Linked DNA regions of Schizosaccharomyces pombe. The gene in region 2 interacts genetically with the main gene of each other region. Each region holds a gene or a part of one and is shown on either strand. Other genes may lie near its edges. The genes, in order: git3, nap1, SPOM_SPBC1604.03C and SPOM_SPAC977.05C.

The links.
Region 1: mutations in nap1 (region 2) and git3 together harm fitness more than expected from each alone (negative genetic interaction), as found in Schizosaccharomyces pombe (one large-scale study listed by BioGRID).
Region 3: mutations in nap1 (region 2) and SPOM_SPBC1604.03C together harm fitness more than expected from each alone (negative genetic interaction), as found in Schizosaccharomyces pombe (one large-scale study listed by BioGRID).
Region 4: mutations in nap1 (region 2) and SPOM_SPAC977.05C together harm fitness more than expected from each alone (negative genetic interaction), as found in Schizosaccharomyces pombe (one large-scale study listed by BioGRID).

What each region holds. Positions count from the first base shown.
Region 1 is NC_003421.2:1,541,611-1,548,141, forward strand, and holds git3 (G-protein-coupled receptor Git3), read right to left. Parts: upstream 4,486-6,531; 5' UTR 2,972-4,485; coding exon 1,571-2,971; 3' UTR 723-1,570; downstream 1-722. Other genes in the region: single-stranded DNA-binding protein Ssb2, read right to left, coding at 1-51, 179-304; meiotic recombination protein Rec7, read right to left, coding at 6,278-6,531. UniProt on the Schizosaccharomyces pombe protein: G protein-coupled receptor (GPCR) that senses glucose and signals via the heterotrimeric G protein alpha subunit gpa2 to activate adenylate cyclase and PKA signaling, and suppress sexual development and gluconeogenesis.
Region 2 is NC_003421.2:473,025-477,856, reverse strand, and holds nap1 (histone H2A-H2B chaperone Nap1), read left to right. Parts: upstream 1-2,195; 5' UTR 2,196-2,285; coding exon 2,286-3,467; 3' UTR 3,468-4,259; downstream 4,260-4,832. Other genes in the region: GTPase regulator Vps3, read left to right, coding at 1-1,811.
Region 3 is NC_003423.3:3,924,994-3,928,795, reverse strand, and holds SPOM_SPBC1604.03C (uncharacterized protein), read right to left. Parts: upstream 1,827-3,802; 5' UTR 1,783-1,826; coding exon 790-1,782; 3' UTR 697-789; downstream 1-696. Other genes in the region: PPR repeat-containing protein Ppr1, read right to left, coding at 1-373; SPOM_SPBC1604.04 (thiamine pyrophosphate transporter), read left to right, coding at 3,486-3,577, 3,624-3,802.
Region 4 is NC_003424.3:35,092-38,023, forward strand, and holds SPOM_SPAC977.05C (Vel1p domain-containing protein), read right to left. Parts: upstream 1,292-2,932; coding exon 677-1,291; downstream 1-676.

The DNA.
Region 1 (6,531 bases), 1.1 Mb from region 2:
GAGAATTTGCTTAATGGTAACAGGACGTAATTTATTTCCAGCTCCTTGTTGCTAAACATTGGAAAAATTAGTATTAGATATTTTTATGAATAAGGTCAGTGCTAGTACAAAACTATCAACCAAAAAGTATCACCTTGCGGTTATTCAAACAATAGTTTTAGTATTTTATCCCACTTACTCTATCGACGCTGGGCTGGCTCGATTGATCATATTCATTAAATCCAGCGCCTCCTCCCATTCCTGGAGAAAAAGCGCTATTGAAGTCGGGACCATAGCCCGGCTTGCCAAAAGCATCATAAGCCATGAGCACGTATTATCTCAAATTATGAAAGTTTGTTAGGGTGAATTAAAGAGCGATGAAAAAGCAAATCAACCACTTAAAAATATATCTGCGATCTTTTAGAGAGTGATTTTTAAATAATTGAATATAAAGTTACAGCTGATTCCACGAGTAGTCTACTTTTCAGTGGTGTGTTTAGTACAAGTTACGAGTCGCGTTTCGCGGTGGTGTACCGAAAAGAATAAAATCAAGCAAGCGTGCTTATATACTACAATGTAATAAAATTAACTGTTTTATTTAGAAAACCATCTTACATCTACTTTTTTTCTCTATAACCGTATAGTTTTCAATACAAAAACCTACTAATCACGGGATGCTCAATTGACTTAAAACGCTTAAAGCAATCAGATACTGTGCTACCATTCTGCTTTACCAAATGTAAAGAAAAACTAAAAAATACATTATTAAATTTGTAAACATTAACACATTCATATGTAACAAGAAGGCATGGAACAAATGTCCGACGCAATTTTACAAATCGTATAGGAAGAAAAGCGATTTATCCACAACAAAAGAATAGCTAATGGTGAATGACTATTCGCACATCGACATATACAAAATAAGAACATAAACGTATTGCTATGCACAATCCATCCATTTTATGTATTGAGGAAATATAGTATTGGGGACATAAATTTTGAATATAGTTTTGAAGACAGATGCTTAATGCAAGCAGTAAAATGTAAGAGCATCTGAAAAATGAAAACGAGTGAATGATAGTTGGTAAAGCTGAACATAAACATTCTATATAAGGAAGAATTGTTTAGGCGACTAAGCGTTCCAAAAATGAATTCCCCGAGATGAATAGAAAACTGTCATAGACACAGTACATATATATACATCGATAATTGTGAGCGGCCTTATCAATTTGAAGCAGCCAAGCTTTAAACCATCTTCCAATCCGAGCCTTTTGCCAAGTTAAGTAGTGCCAAAATTTAATACTTCGAAATAAATTCTGGGAAGCGAAAATTAAAGTATGACATATATTAGAGGTGATGCAAAAATGGGAGATATTAAAATATTAGTTGGTTTACCACAGTTGTTTCCATTCACATTCCATTGTCATTCACTGGATGGCTTTAACAAAAAAGGAAGACATATGAATGCAAAGGCTATGAGAAAATTTTAAGAAGTAAAGTGATAATAAAATCGTCATAAAAAGAAATTATAATACAAGAAGAGGAGCTTGTGAGACTTCACCATAAACAAAAATAAAAAGAACAAATCCTTCTATTTTTCCTCACCAAATTTACCCCGCCACCATTTTAAAGTCAACTCCTTTATTTGATCCCAATAACTTTTACTCGAATCTCTTTCCTTCAAATACGTGTAGCCACGATAACAAATCCAAATAAAATCTGACAAGGCAATAAAGATGGCAACGAAGTTGTCTGCAAAGACTGCAACAAATGCGAATCGTTTGCATGAACCAGAGCAGTGCAACGGTTGGGCAAGTATAACGATAATCTGTATTTGAGGGAGAATCCACATAAAGATAAAAATTGCAGGATAAGCAAACAAAAACTTAGACTGACTTAAAATGCGTTTCCGTTGTTTAAGGAGGGGATCATCTTGCATATCATTTCCATATGCAGCCAAAACACTAGAAGCACCATCTTCGTCACTAGTCAATGGACTACTGAGTTTAAAACTCGTGTGATCTTCAAGGCCATTTGTGCGATTTGGACTATCCCTAAAATCCTGTTCGAAATGTATTCCTGATTGATTTAGATTAGCAGGAGTAGACTGCGAACCAGGAGGCAAATTAGGATGCACAGAGGATAGTAACGGTCTCGAATAGGGAGAAGGTTGAGACTGCGAGGAGTAAATGGATTGAGAATTAGATGGAGTATATGTTAAAGTACTGTTGGTGTCGGGAAATGGTGGAAGAGCTACTTGATCCGGAGCGGTAGGATACGAATCAATGACATTTAAAGTATCAAACACATTTGTTTGTTGATGTGAGTATTTCTTGAAACGTTTGATTTTCCTTCTGATCGAGATGAACATGCAAGTTTGTAAAGCAATAATTGCAATACTTAGCGCATAATCAAATGACCAATTCAAACCAAACATGAATCGTACAGGGGTATAGGGAAGGTAGCATCGGGTTTGTAAATTGACAAATGTATTTCTTTTATTGGTAAAAGCAAGTCCGCCAATAGTTAAAGGAATTACAAATGACAGTGTAAACACAGTATGCCGAAAACGATATAGACCCCTTCGTTCAGTATCAACATGGGGGAAAAGCACCAAAAGAGCATTATGCAATATGTTGATAAAAATCCAATAATCAGTCATCCGAACAAGTACCAAAAGAAAAAATCCAATTGTAAAGCATCGATGTTTTGGAGCCCAAAAAAAAGGATCGCTTAATGCTAGACATGGATGAATCATTTGCACAATGGAACGAATAAACAATACAGAAAAAAGAGCGATATGAAATTGTTCACGTATTGTTCGCCGACGAGACCATCGCCAGAAGATAGCAATTAAGCTGAAAACGATAGATATGGCTGAAGCTATAATGACCATGATTCTCAGGTTAGCTAACTCTCTGCGAGAGACAATGATGATGGAACTCGTACTCGTGGCATCGGAAACATTAAACGTATAATCTAAATGAAGCATGAGCAACCTTGTTCCTTATTACAAAGTTTAAACTTCTCTTCAAGAAGACAGGAAAAAAAAAGAGAGGAGAGGAGGTGAGAAAGTAAAAAACAAGAAAAGCAATATCAGAACGAAAAACAAAAAAAAAGACAAAAAAAAAAGGAATACTCCAAAGACAAATCTATGACTTCAGAAATGTTCAAATAGACAAACAAGAAAGCAAAACAGAATTTTCAGCCACTTGGGTAATCAGTCCTATTACCCTTAAGAAGTGCAAAAAATAGTATATCTCGTATATCCAATTACCCAAGATTGCATATCTGACCCTCGATTTTCTATAAATTGCTTCGTTCGCGAATATAAACAGTCTCTTCAAGTTGATGTAAAAAACTTAGCAAACTGGCAATATAGAAGGAGCTCTCTAAACTAAACGAGTTTGTTTCGAATATGAATTTGAATTCCCGTACTTTTATTTTTGTTTCTGTTTTCTTTTTTCCAAAAACAAGCTTCTCGTCTTTACTTTTCAATTAACTCAACTATTCTTTCGAAAGTTGTAGACACACGATTAAACTGTTAAAGGTAAAAGTTGAAATAGTAAATCTACTGCTTTTTCCTTTAATCGTGGCCGACGAAGCAGCTCAAAAGTGATAAACGAATGCAACCAGGAAAGCCGGACGCAAAACGGTGCCGACGATTATTAATAAAGCGCAGTCCCGTCTCGACACTCTTGGCAAGAAGAAAAGCGCAATTGACGTGAACAACCAACGATGTATTGTGCTTATAAAGAAAGCACTAGTGAAGTCACTTAGAGCTCAAAGCCACTTATGCACGTTTTGCAAGGCTCTTAATAGCGTGGCGAACCTTCTTAAGGATATTGAAGAATAGGGAAATCGGAGGCGGTATGGCTTGCAATTAACGCCGTACAGTGAATAAAGCGGTACTAAATCAAATCGGTGAAATTTACCGATAATTAAGGAAAAGACAAATCAATTGAAGGCGCCGTGGTTTGGGTTGGCTGATGGAGTTGGCTTGATTATAAGTAATGATGGCGGAGAGTTGCCGCCTTTGCTGTTGTGTATGAGTGTGTAGTGAATATGCACAAATATACCTCAACGACTAATGGATAAGGTGTTATAGCAAGTACAGTAGTTAAGTACCAATGCGGGATTTTTCTGAAAAAATATGCAAGCACACGGGCTTGACAGAAACACAAGAGGAGACAAATAAACCAAAGTCTCCGCACCTTAAGTCCACAGAAGAAGAATAAAAAAAAAGATCGCAATTGAATTATGTGAGGGGGCCCAGGCGTCAATAGTACAGAGTCGATTGACTAAGTAGATTTAAGATCACAAGCTGTAGAGCAAATCAGAAATTTGCACCTACGCAGAGACAATGAACAATTGTAATTTCAGAAAAAAAAATATCGACAACGATTCAAATTCCGAGTAATTTTCTAGCAAGACTATTGAAGAAAAAATTTCCCTAATCCCTTGATGAGCCTTGTCGCACTAACACAATATCGGCGATGCTTTCACACTCCTAGATGTGCTACCACCAACCATTATAACTTATGAAAAAAATTTGTAGTATCGCTGTAAACGAAATTTTTGTGTAAGAATGACGAGAGTTGTTTTTGCACAGACAAACGAGGTTCGGACGATCGGCCTATTTTTTAAGTACGATAGTGATTAGTATAGTATATCGTGAGGAGCAAATACAATCGCATAAAAAAAATCAGGGTGAAAAGAATCATTTCAGAGTGCGTTAATGAGAAAGTCCTCGTTATAAAAGAAAAAAAGGAACCGATGATTTAAAGTTATTGATGGTTTTAAAAAACAGCGTTTATTTTTACAGTGTTTAAAGTCAAGTCAATATTAGGCACAAGAAGAGGTCACACTTTATTTTCAAAAGAAAATGGATGAAATGCAACTCCATGCGTTGCGATAAGCGTTAAACACCAATCTAGGAAGCAGTCCCTCAACAGAAATGAAGCGAAAATCGAATGATGGTGAGAATAGAATAATAAAACGAGCCCCGGTAAATTGAAAGTTGATAGAATCAAGTTTCAATTAGGGGTAATGAAAACGTGCTTAAAAATAGGGAGTAATGTTGTAGTTACCAAAATGAACAATTCGGACCAGACCAATAAATATTGTCGAAATAAAACAAGGAGTGTTAAATTTTATTATTATGTCTTTATTCTCCTTGGAAACCGGTTCGTCCACGTGAAGAGAATTCTATTAGCATTGTCGAAACCGTTTGATCCGGTTATGCCTTCATATCTTTGAAAACATTTCCGCCAATTCCACCAAGTGAAAATCACAATATCGTTAGTCGGTATTGTCTTTAGGTTTACTAGCGGGGGCGTTTTTGTTTTGAGGAAAAAAGAATATTCTCTGGTTTCCATCTACCTTAAGTGCCGATTAGGCAGATAAGCTAGATTAAGTGAAATGGGAAACGGGATTCATTTTCCATTGACAACACTTTTAAACATTATTTGATAATTCGCATGCAACCCTTCAAAGTCGATTCGACATTTTAAGGTTTACTTCACGGACATTGAAATCATTGTGAAGCTTTGTAGACTGTTGTCTCTCTCGGAAGTACCCAAAAAAAAAAAAAAAATCCTTTTTACACTCATAACGTTCTAGCTGTTTCATCCCTTTAAAAAATATCATGTTTTTTTTTTGGTGCTCGGAACATTTACTTTCTCCACTTGGTTCGTCTATTTTTGAAGTTAAACTAACTATTTGACCATTTTCGTACTTAATGTCATGAACTCCTCTCGTGGATTGTTAAGTCAATTATCAAAACCAACCACCAACTCAATTTTAACCGTTGTAACCTGACCCATTATTAACACTAGTATTCATGCTGTACTTGCGGCAATTCCCCCATCAAAAAGTTTTCAGAGTTGTCTTTTGATACCGATTATGTGTCGTGGTGGAGGCTTACACCCCAAGGATCGGAACGGGATCTTCTCAATTTGATTTTAATGCTCTGCATGGACAAGCCTAAGGGAAAAGAGTCATGCAACAAGTAGAGAAATTTATTTCAACATTGTTGTGTTGGCGGTTTCTGTTTGCTAATCCTCAGCAACGATCATATGCAGTTGAGATCTCGACCAACTTTTCGTTAAATAATGTCAAAATTTGCAACAAATGTTTTATCACGGTACTCGAAGAATGTGAACTTAATGAAGTTTCTCATTTGGTTGCCAAATTGTGGTCACACATCAATTTTGTCGAAATAACCATTCCGATCCTGATTTCGTTCCATTTTTACTACTTTTTTAAATTTGGGATTAAGTTGAATTGGTCTGTCTTCCTACATCTTGTTCCATACCCGTTCCAAACTTTGACATAATTGGATGAAGCTGTCTTGTTTTAGATAGAATAATACCTTGGAGCGTAATTGCTTTTCCTCTTCAGTAAGTTCTGTTGGTAGGATTTGTGAAGTCGTTGGGGGTGATGGAATCAAATTTGCGTATGCTTGGTTCTCCGGTTGAGCAACCCACGAAGCCTGTGTCTGAGAGTTCAGCGGCGTAGCAGCAATAATGGGGTATTGTGAGTTTGCACCGT
Region 2 (4,832 bases):
CTACCTCAAAAACTTCTGATACGATAGAAAGGGCTTCTTTTAGCAAGCCTTCATTTATTTTTCTTACGAATAAATCTTGGGGGTTTGGCGCTGAAGCTCATTTTATGAACAAACTAGAATTCAGTATTACCATAGGCGATATTGAAGCCCCTCTGCGTCGAGTGAGTAAGCGATTGCGGAATCCGAAGAAGTATGGAATAACCAATGATGTCGCTTATCTTCAATCTGCTTATTTGGAGCAAATCTCGGCATTACAGTATTGGAAGCAAGGACAGTATGAAAATTCTCTCTCTTTGCTTGAAACTTCCAAAATTGATCCTCGCGTAGTTATCTCCCTCTATCCAGATCTCTATCATTCGGAGCTTTCCTATATTGCTTTTCAAGGTGTCATTAGTTTTCGCAAAAGCATATTGTCCGTCGATGATACTGTTGCTAATGTTTTAAAATCTAATGAATTGTTTCGTGATACTGATCAATACACTCAGAGACAAATGATTGAAATTACTAAGGAAAACGCATACATCATGTTGATGCGTTATCTGAAAAATTACAAAAAGAACACGAGCATATCTGAGTATCTTTTATCTTCGCAAAGAGACGTGATGCTTGCTGTAGAGCATTCGTTATTACTCCTTTATTTAAATATGGATGATTTAGCCGCCGGTACCAAAAATGCTAAGGAGTTGTTAGAGTCTGGTCTAACTGGTGTTGAAGATATAAAAGATGTGTTGATACAGAAGAAAGAGTATTATTTACTCTCCGTGTTATTGGCTACTGTAAGGGATCACGATGGTGTTCTTCAAACTTGGAAGAAATTAATAACAGGGGATTATGAAGATCGGAGATTCAACGATGGGTTAATTAAAATACGAGAATATTTGGTTAATGATATTGAGCCTTCGACATTCTGGGAATTTACTACATGGCTTTGTAAACACGATGCAACGGAGGGTACGCGCGTTTTGCTTGACAAAACAGTTAGTGGATCCATTTCTGCAGAGGACGTGTTAGAGCATTTGGATTCTTCTCAAGATGATGTTTTGATTGATTACCTTGTAAAGTCGAATTCCGTCACTCATCGAGCGCTACTTTTAAAGTTGTGCGTTAATAAGTTGCTTGGCAGTTTATTGGATCATAACGATTTTAAAAATCGCCTTGAGACTGCCATTGAAACATTTAGGGAGCTTCCTTGCATGGAGAAACCTACGTATGCCCAATACTTGGAACAACTTTGGGGGGACATGAGTGATTTCAGTACTCATCTTTCATTTTACTATTTGTGTTCTATTAATCTGATGGAAAATGTTGAAGAAGAATCTATAGATAAAATAAAAGATATTTTGTTCGACATTCATGTTGACAATTTATATCTATTTCCTCAACTTGAACACTCGTTTTACAAAAGGAAGAAGAATTATGAAAAAGCTTTATCCGTTTTGGTTACGAATATTCATGACTATAAGGGCGGTGAAGCATACTGTCTTCAAATTGATGATGTTTATCCTCAGTGTTGGTGCAATTTGCTCGAAAAATGTATATCAACAGGAGATGGATGTAGTGATTTTATTAAAGAACTATTGTATCGTCGACCCTTTTCTTATACGCTTTCCTACGTGTGCGAGCAAATTCCAGATCATTGGAATCTTAACTTATTAGCAGATTTTTTGTGTATATTGCAAAAAAGAAATGCTGAGCGTTTGAATGAATCCCAAACTCGTTTAACACTTGAGAAGTCGTTGTCTCAAAATTTGGAAGAGTTGTTCATGGCTATTAATCGTCGTAATGTAGCCTTGGGCAAAAACGAAATTTAACCCAGTAACATTTAAAAAGTAACCTTTGGTTCAGCAAAGTTTTTACCTCAATTTTCGATACTTATTCGACTGATGTTTAATTTAATGATAGAATAATTTCAATGAGACAAAAAGATTCTAGCTTCAAAATGTTGTTAGAATATAAAGGGCTTTCTTCTACAGTTAATTCAGCTCTTCCTGATCTTTACTAGTCTTAAAAATATAAATAATATTAACTATGAGCCTAAATTCATCGAATTTTATTTTTAAAAACCCCCTTCGGGAATAAAGAAAGTGTCCGTAACACAACGATGCACTGTTCACTAAGGTCGGAAACCCCGAGGATGAGCTCGGAAGTTCCGCGGGTAGGTAGATTCCCAGGGTGCAGCAAATATTCTTACACTTAGCTTCTACCACTACCCTTCCCAGTGTTATTAAAAGGACGTACGGAAAGCGTCTGAAGCATAATTGATTGCTGGAACAAGTAGAATTAATATGGTAGAGAACGTTAATATTAATAACAAAAGGGCCGGAAAAATGTCTGCCGCCCCAACTCCCCATAACACCCCATCGGGGACGAGCGCTCCCAACTTTGGTGCGAAGGCTCCTCAAGTAAATACTATTGACGAAGGAGATGAGAATTTAGAGGCTATCGACGGAAAATTGGGTTCTTTATTACATCTCACTTCAGAAGGAGTTTCAGAATTGCCTGAAGCCGTGCAAAGAAGGATTTCTGGACTTCGTGGTTTGCAAAAGCGATACAGCGACTTGGAGTCTCAATTCCAAAAAGAGCTGTTTGAGTTGGAAAAAGCTTATGCAAAGAAGTACGCACCTATTTTTAAGAGAAGATCTGAGGTTGTTCGTGGCGCTGACGAACCTACCGAGGAGGAAATTAAGAAGGGTGAAGCTGCCGATGAGAACGAAAAGAAAGAACCTACTTCTTCTGAGTCTAAGAAACAAGAAGGTGGTGATGATACTAAGGGTATTCCTGAGTTCTGGTTGACCGCTATGAAGAATGTTTTGTCTTTGTCTGAAATGATTACTCCCGAAGATGAAGGAGCTTTAAGTCACCTTGTGGATATTCGCATTTCCTATATGGAAAAGCCTGGTTTCAAATTAGAATTTGAATTTGCTGAAAACCCATTCTTTACTAACAAGATTCTCACCAAAACTTATTATTACATGGAGGAATCTGGCCCGTCCAACGTTTTCTTGTATGATCATGCTGAGGGCGATAAGGTTGATTGGAAAGAAAATGCCGATTTGACTGTTCGTACCGTTACTAAAAAGCAACGCAATAAAAACACTAAACAAACTCGTGTCGTAAAGGTTTCCGTTCCTCGTGACAGTTTCTTCAACTTTTTTAATCCCCCAACTCCTCCATCTGAGGAAGACGAAGAATCGGAGAGCCCTGAATTGGATGAATTGTTGGAACTTGACTATCAAATCGGTGAGGACTTCAAAGAGAAACTCATTCCTCGTGCCGTTGAGTGGTTTACTGGTGAGGCTTTAGCTCTTGAAAACTATGACGGATTCAGCGACTTAGATGTTGAAGAGGATGAAGATGATGTTGAATCCTCTTCTAACGAAGAAGTTTCCGATTCCGATGAGGAGGACAGTGATAGCAAGCACACTGCTCATGGCCAGCAAAACGCTGCTGAGTGCCGTCAGCAATAAACAATTTCGATAATGTGCATATATTATGGGGTTAATAACAATGGGTTTTCTGTGTTTTGACTAAAGGAAAGATACTTGAAAAGTATGATTCTTGAGGTTTTCATGCAACATTTGTAAACCTTTTGTTGTACAGGATAGGTTCGGACCACATGTGAGTGCTTGCGGACGAGATTCTGCAAGTTTATAAAGTTTTTAAATATCTTCCAATTTATCGAGTTTTTTTCGTTTATCAAATAAAAATGCTTACAGTCGACGTGTTTTATTTTTTACTGGAATTGGTGGTTTTGAGATGAATGGCTTTAAAAGACCTAAACGACATCGTCTACATAATGGGAGGTGTGATCGTTCTTGGCGAATTTTCCGAGTTTCTAGTTTGAGTACGAAAGCCTTTAAAGATTTTGGAATGCTTATATTTGATCAATCATGATGAAAACGCTCGGACAAACTTGGACGTTTTAATATTTTCTTGCCTTTTTTTTCAATCAAATGCTTGCGAAAAGAACTAGTGATAGTTTTTTATTGTTAGTTTAGACCAAGTTGAAAACACTGACTGTAAAAATTGACCTTTAGTAAAGCTTAAAAAAGAGAACCCTTTTTACGAGCTTTTCTAGAAAATAATGCTTTGTTTTGACTTAGAAGTAAGCAATTGAGAATTCATAGTATGAATGGGTTGCATCCTAGTTAGTCTACTCTACCCAAGAAGTTGGGAAGGTATAACTAAACCCGATGTGTTTACATAAAAGGCTATTTCGAAAGAAATGAGTGTCAAAGTTTATCAAAAATACGATTTGTTTTTTTTTCGTTTTTTTAGACATAAAGAAGCTTGCAATTCTTGGAGTAAGAAGGAAACTAAAAAAATGCGGAGCGCATTGTAAAAGAGTGTTCGGTTGTTATAGTAAGTTCGTCTAGCGTTTAACAGATACCAGTTTTGTTTTTTAAAGTTAGAATCATCAAATAATGGAGATGATTACAATTGGGATGGAGGATTGCATACTACAATTTATCTTAGTCTAAATTTAAAGCATATTTGACATATCTCTTACAACATCTAATATTTTAATTTTAATACTTGCCTTAAATATATTATAGCTTTTATAATTTTCGACTTAGACACTATGCCTGAGTGGTTAAAGGGACAGACTAGAAATCTGTTGCGGTCTCCGCGCGCAGGTTCAAATCCTGCTGGTGTCGAAAATTTTTGGCAATTTTTATATTGAAAATTCTTTATATTCATTTGCAACTTAAGAATGTTTTTAGTATATAATGCAAAGGTCCTAAATAAAACAGCGTCCAATTTGATGGAATGCGTTTAGTTGTATAATATTGTTGCAGCAATTTGGTGGACTCAAAACACTGAAAGTCAAT
Region 3 (3,802 bases), on a different chromosome or scaffold from region 2:
TTATGCAACAGTCGATGAAATCCTGATTGCGTATCCAGGATTCTTCATACTTCCATAAATTTTTTCGAAACAAGCTTACGGCTTCCCTGTACTTTTTACGAGAAAATGACTTTTTCATGCTGGTATTAAGGCTATTAAGCAATGAAGCCGACATGTGCGACGATTGCTTTGGCATAGATTTTAAAGAAAATGAAGGGAAGAACTTATCTTCGGGGGCCTGAAACTTTGAAATCATCGAAACATTATTTTTGGCAGCAGTACTTGAATGCCTTAACATAGGAAATTGTGTCAAGCAACTGAAAACTCTTTGATAAGACAGCCCATTATGATTAAGAGTGACATGGAGGGCTACATAATGAGCCCTTTTCAGCATATGCAAAGAAACTAATGAAATAGCAGCTGCATAAACTACTAGAAATATTATATATAAATAAAAGGTAATAACCTATGGTTGGTAGATAACCGCTAGCTGAGCGTTAGACGAAGCAAAAAATATTGAGGGTACCAAATTTTGTCTGCAACCAGGCTAAAGAGAGGGGGGTTTTATGGGTTAACAAAAACTAAACTAAAACGATAAAATGCGATGATAAAAGCACGACACCGGCAATGTCTAGCTTCTCTGTGCTTTGTGAATAAAAGGAGTCAACACAACGAGAGCTGTTCGGGTTACTTCCCAACGAGGGCTTACAAATTTGATAGTGCATATAACGAGACATTTAGTAATATTCATTAAGTCTACTCAATTAACAAAAAAATGCTAAACAAATGTAATATAAACTTAAGTAAATGCTAACGGGGAGCTGGAGCGGCATTATACAAAGGACCGATAGCTGGCCCATTAGTAGAAGGATGATCGAATGCACGAAAGGTTTCATAAGTGCTGTTGAATGGCAGAGCAGCCAAGTGTTGCCAATTATCAGTAACTAAAGGAAAGGAGAAGAAAGAAGGGAGAGTCTGAAAAGAGACCAAAAATTGTGAAGCAAGACGAGAAATAAAAAAAGATCCAAAACTTTCAGTAAAATAGGCATCTATGTAGTCAACAGCAGAAGACGCCAGATACGCAGTATAATACTTTAGGAAATCTTTTTTCACCAAATGCTCAAAGGCAGACTTTAAAGTGTAGGTAGAGACGGAAAATGGATCAGGAATTGCATTTTTAAGAAGAGATTCTTCAATAATGTAGAGAAGCTCTTTAAGAGAAATACCCTCATCGTCAACTATGGTACAAAAAACACTAGGCAAGGTAGGGATTGGATTAATACTAGTATCCTCTGTTGTAAAACAAGCAGCAGTAGCAAAACAATCAATGAGAACCTCTTGAATATTAAGACTGAGACCAACGGCTAGATTAGCAAGTGGTGTACAACTATCGTAACACAGACCTTTGATATATTCAGGGTTGCGACTTAAAGTTTGCCAAACTAACTCATGGAGGTTGTAGCGTGCATCATGAACAAGCCTATCTCCATAGAATAGTACAAATGGTTCAATAAACTTTGGATGACCTATGTGAGTTTTGTATGTGGATACATCGATTTCGTATGTATCTAGACCTTTGTGTGTCTGCGGTACTAATAACGGAATGGCTTTGTCAAAAAAATCAACAAAATCGTCGTCTTTGTACTTTCCATACAAACATCCTAACAGTAAAAGAGGTACAGCGTTTATACGGTTCTTTTCATCAACTGGTCGAAATCGTGTGTGATTAGCACGAAACAAAGGAACAATTCTCTTCCTCCTAACTTCTATTGGCGTTTTAGGTGTCGAAAGAATGGCTCCCATTTTTGAGTCAAAAAATTTAAATCAACTATTTTTATGCTTTTTTCAGGCCTAGAGACGATCGTTAAATGCAGTTCATCTAACCCTATAGTGAAACACAACGAGCTAGGGGGTACAGAAGATAATAAGAGGAATTTATATGTAATTGGTAGAGGTATTTGATGGTTTATCATTTTCATGAATTGATAGATAGTTATATCAGTAATGTAAAGTCATTACTTAGAGCAATGGTTTAGCTAAAGACCATTCACCTTTGATAAACGTCAAGTCGAGTATGAATACATCTAAAGCCTTCTTCATTTTTTCTAGTAATTGAAGAAGCTTTTACGATAAATTTGTTTGATGTGCAATTAACATAAATCGCTTTAATTGTTTAAAAGTGCATGACAAGAAAGGAGTGTATGCGACAAGTGTTGAAACCTCGCACTCATAGTTGCATATATACAGAGAAACTAATATAAATAATAAAATTTTTATTTTTTAATTGCTTTTTTATAGTTTTTTTTTTATGGCGCTACCAAAAAATAGAGAGTAATGATTTAAACATTTTAGTTATCAGATGTCTACTGTAAATAAAACGTGGGAAGGAAGGGAAAATCTACGCATATTTGCTTTGTCAACAGAAGAGCTATAAGTGTTCCAAAAGTAAAAAATTAATAAATTTTCATTTCATTTCGTTGTGGTATTTGATGGATTACTTTTATACATCCTGCACATTACCATCTCAGCTGTCTTATGTTGTAATATGAACGTATTGATGTTGTATGGAATGCACTAAATTGAGAATGCCTAACGAACAGAATGGGGTAAACGAGAAACCAAAAGGCGATTGTTCTTGAAATTTGTAGCATGTTCTAACATTTTATCCGTACGGACACGAAATTGACCATACATTTATTATTAAAAAAATAACAGATTATAATATCTCAAAAAGTTATTTATATAGCAAAATAGCTATTTTATTGTGAAACAATTAAATTATGTAAGCGGAATCTTGCGTTTAAAAATCCATTTCGTTCCTCAAGACTGAAATATTAAGCGATAACATTCTTTTGAACATAAGAAAACAGAAGATGAAAGTAGCAGACATCAGTACTAACTAATTTAACAACTACATGTTCTTGTTTTTAGTCATATCCAGCTGTTGCGTACAAACTCTAGTAGTAATTTGTACCGACTATTGTATTCAATGATAGCACGAATACAAAGCAGGATTGACAAATTCTTTGAAGCTCAATAAATTACTTGAGTTATTTCAAAGTTGCTTTACTATGGCTTTAAGTGTTCAGTTAAAGGAAGGAAACTTTGGGATTTCCTTGCATGGCTTTTAAATAAATTGCAGATTTTTAAAAAGATCGTTTAACAGCCAAAGACTTTTTTTTACATAATTTCGTCCGTATACATTGATTTTTTTTTTAGTTTTACAACTGTGAACTACACTTGATCCGGCATCTTACATCCGGTAAGTTAATTAATCAATATTCTATATTAACTGAGATGTGTGCTCAAAAAGTCTAATCGGAAAAGCCGCAAACAGTATTTGTTCGTGTAATTCGGTGGGCGAAATTTTTGAACTCCCATTACACTTATACGTGAATACAAAATACCCGAGATTGTAGTTAAACCAACAGTTATAAGATTTAAACAAATCTTACGCCTCCGGCTTTGTAATAATTAATTGCCGATTGTAGAAACAAACACTATCGATGGGCCTTGCAAAGCAAAAGGACTCGCAAGAGTTTGCCCAACCTGTTTGGCATTACACTTTGGCTGGTGGCATTTCATCCGTAATTTGTCGGTATGGCTAAGTGGCAGGGAAATAGTCAATTAACGATTTAAACTAGATTTATGATAGCACCATTTGATGTGATAAAAATTCGTATGCAAATTACCCAGTCTTCGTTGAGGCCGGTCTTTAAAGAGACTGTTCAGAAGGAAGGCGTACGAGCTTTGTGGAGAGGAAACGTGGTTGCTGAACTGCTTTACTTAGTATATGGTGCTGCCGAATTTGTGGCTTTTTCAA
Region 4 (2,932 bases), on a different chromosome or scaffold from region 2:
TAATTTTGGCTGATCAACTCTTATTCTAGGGACAGTTTGAAAAATCATACCTTGTCTCGTATTTTAGACTTTTAGGATCTGTGGCTCTAATTTGTGACAAAGAACATAATTACATGTTGGACCGTACTTAACGCACCTCAGTCCTTCTTTGATCTCTTGGCTCTGTGAAGATAAACAAAACGTACAAATCCGTTAATGGTTATAACGACGATGAGAATACTCAATACTCGGTAAAATCAAATGTGTTGCTGTTCATTTTAGCGTACTGCCTAGCGCGGATTTGTTTGATAGACTCATTCCAAGATTGTCGATCTACTACGAATGATTTGCAACCGCTTGGAAGCCGAGTAACTGTTTGTCGCTAACTTAAAAGATTTCCTGTTATGCTTTTTTCACTAGTAAAATGAAGTATGCTATAACTTTTCCTTACCATTAAAACACAATAAAAAGCGAAAAACACATAAACAAAATCAAAATACTTATGAATTCCGTTATTTGTTAGAAAATATGTTTAGTATAAGTTTAAAATAAAAAAAAAAAATAAAAAAAACAATTTACAATATTTTATCTAGTATAAAGACTTTTATTGCTTAAGCGTTTCTAATTAAATGTTTTTAGAGGATAAATTTAACCCCTATTTTTAAATCCCACGATTTAAATAACGATTATATATATATCAGTTGAATCCCTCATCCAAAGGACAAACTGGTATAAGTTCAATGGGCTGACACCAACTTGGCATGCCTTCCTCGTTATTAAAAACATTGATTGTAGGACTATCTAACAATAACGCAGAGAATCCGGGAGTACATGTTGCTACTTGAACATTATATAGAGTAGAATTCATCAGTTGGTTGCTAAGACCCGTTATCCGACTTGAATTTTGTGCTGTATACGCCCATGCATCAAAAGAAATTTCACTGGTAACAGTATTCACAAAAGGGATCATTGCATTTTCAATACTTTGAGGATTGCATGTTTTCAAATACGTTGTAAATGTCAAGGGAGTAAAGTTGGCCGTGTCGTTTTCAGCTATCGTAAACAAACGTGGAATAAGTCGAGGTTCTTGTTCCAACATACGCTGAAAAAATTCACCTTTACTTTCAGTCAAAGCATCAAGACCTATAAATGATTTTTCACCAACGTATGTAGCATTCGTTCCTACTACTTTCAGTAGATACGTACCACAATGCGGACCGCGTAGTCTACTACACTCAAGATCAGTGAGGTTGAAGCGTATGGCGGTAGCGAGCCCAATGAAAAAGAGAGATATTAAGTTTTTGAAAATCATATGGAAATATCTTTTGAATGTTTGTAAAGAAATGTTTGATTTTAGTCGGTTTATATAGTTTTTTTTTTCTTTTTTCAGCAACAAAAATAGATTAACTCGTACATATATAAAATGAGATATTTTCGCGTAGATCATGATCGTCGCAATTTCAAACGTTGCAAATCACCTTTTTCTTTTTGAAATGTCACCAAAAGTGGTAACAACTGCAAATCGTTGAGGTAACGTGGTTTTCCCACTAGTCAATAACGAATACCAATTTTTATGTGATTGCGAATTTATCGGCGAGTTGTGACACATTTGTCTCAGAAAACACACGCTTTTTTGGTCTTTTCTCTACTGCTCAAATTTGTTGCTCTTTTTGTTGTGTAGATCTTCCCTCTGATTTTCAAACAAAATTTGCGGTTTCCCACCCATTGTTATCAACGTCTATTATTCTTGGAAAATCTTCCATTACATTATTGAATTTGAATAACGAGGCCAAAACAAACAAATGAAAATCTGCTAATTCACGAAATGGTACTGGTTCCATTAGATAAGGAAAAATTCGAAAAAAAATTATGTTTCTTCAGTCGTAGTATGCCTACTGGATTATCATTAGCAATATGAGTAGCTTTTATCCCGTTTATTATATTATAAACGATTCGGATTCCTATCGATTTATTCTAAAATAAAATACCCGTCAGTTATTTACTTGGATTTTAACTTAGAAGCCAAAAAACGAATCTTCAACCAGACTGAACTGGAAAACATTAATTAAAGAGATTCTCGGTTGTAGATAGTTGTAATTGTTTCTGTTTCTGTTCTGAAAACTTGTTAATATAGTAATCCCCCACTCTTTTTCCATATTTAGTCTTTGAAGAAAGCGAAGCAATTCTTATACTACTCGTCTTTAACGAGTTGCATATATACCGCCCTATTTTTTTGCAGTTTCCTTTAAAAAATCTCATTAGAATGTTTCAATGCATACTTAATAAATCAATTTTATCAAATGCTTTGTTGTGAATATATTCTTAAAACTCATTCATTTCTTGTAAAGAAATCTTTCTTTATATGAAATTTGAAATATTCGAAATTTCATCTTTATAACTAGGTATTTCTCAATACTTTTACATAAATTAAGAAGGGAAAAAATTTGGGTTTCCTTTTTAAATCAGTTAGAGGCGAAACCTCTAACGCTTTTCATGGCTTCGTGTTAAATGTGTAATTATTTTTAAGAAGAAATACAAACACAATTAACAGATGTTGCATAACATTACTTTAGATTTGAATTTCACCTCTTAGATATCATCCATTCACATGTCAAGTAGGTGCAGTTTGTGGTTAACATATATTATTACATCTGTATTTAACAAAGTCTAGAGCAAAGAAGATATTTTCAAAATGCTGGAAGGAGAAATTTAGAATGTATGACTTACCTTGTGAAACCCTAGTATATTACGTTTTCGTAGTAAAACTAGTAGCAGGTGAAATTTTAGAGTAGTTTGTTGACGAATGTTTGTTTCAATTTTATCGCTTAAAAATTAAATTTGTTTTAGATTCATCTATTTCCATTATAATTTTTCTTTTTTGTAACATTATTCAAGTAAGGTTATGTGTATCAAAACAATAACTTCTGACTAACTACTCGAATAACAACCAAGT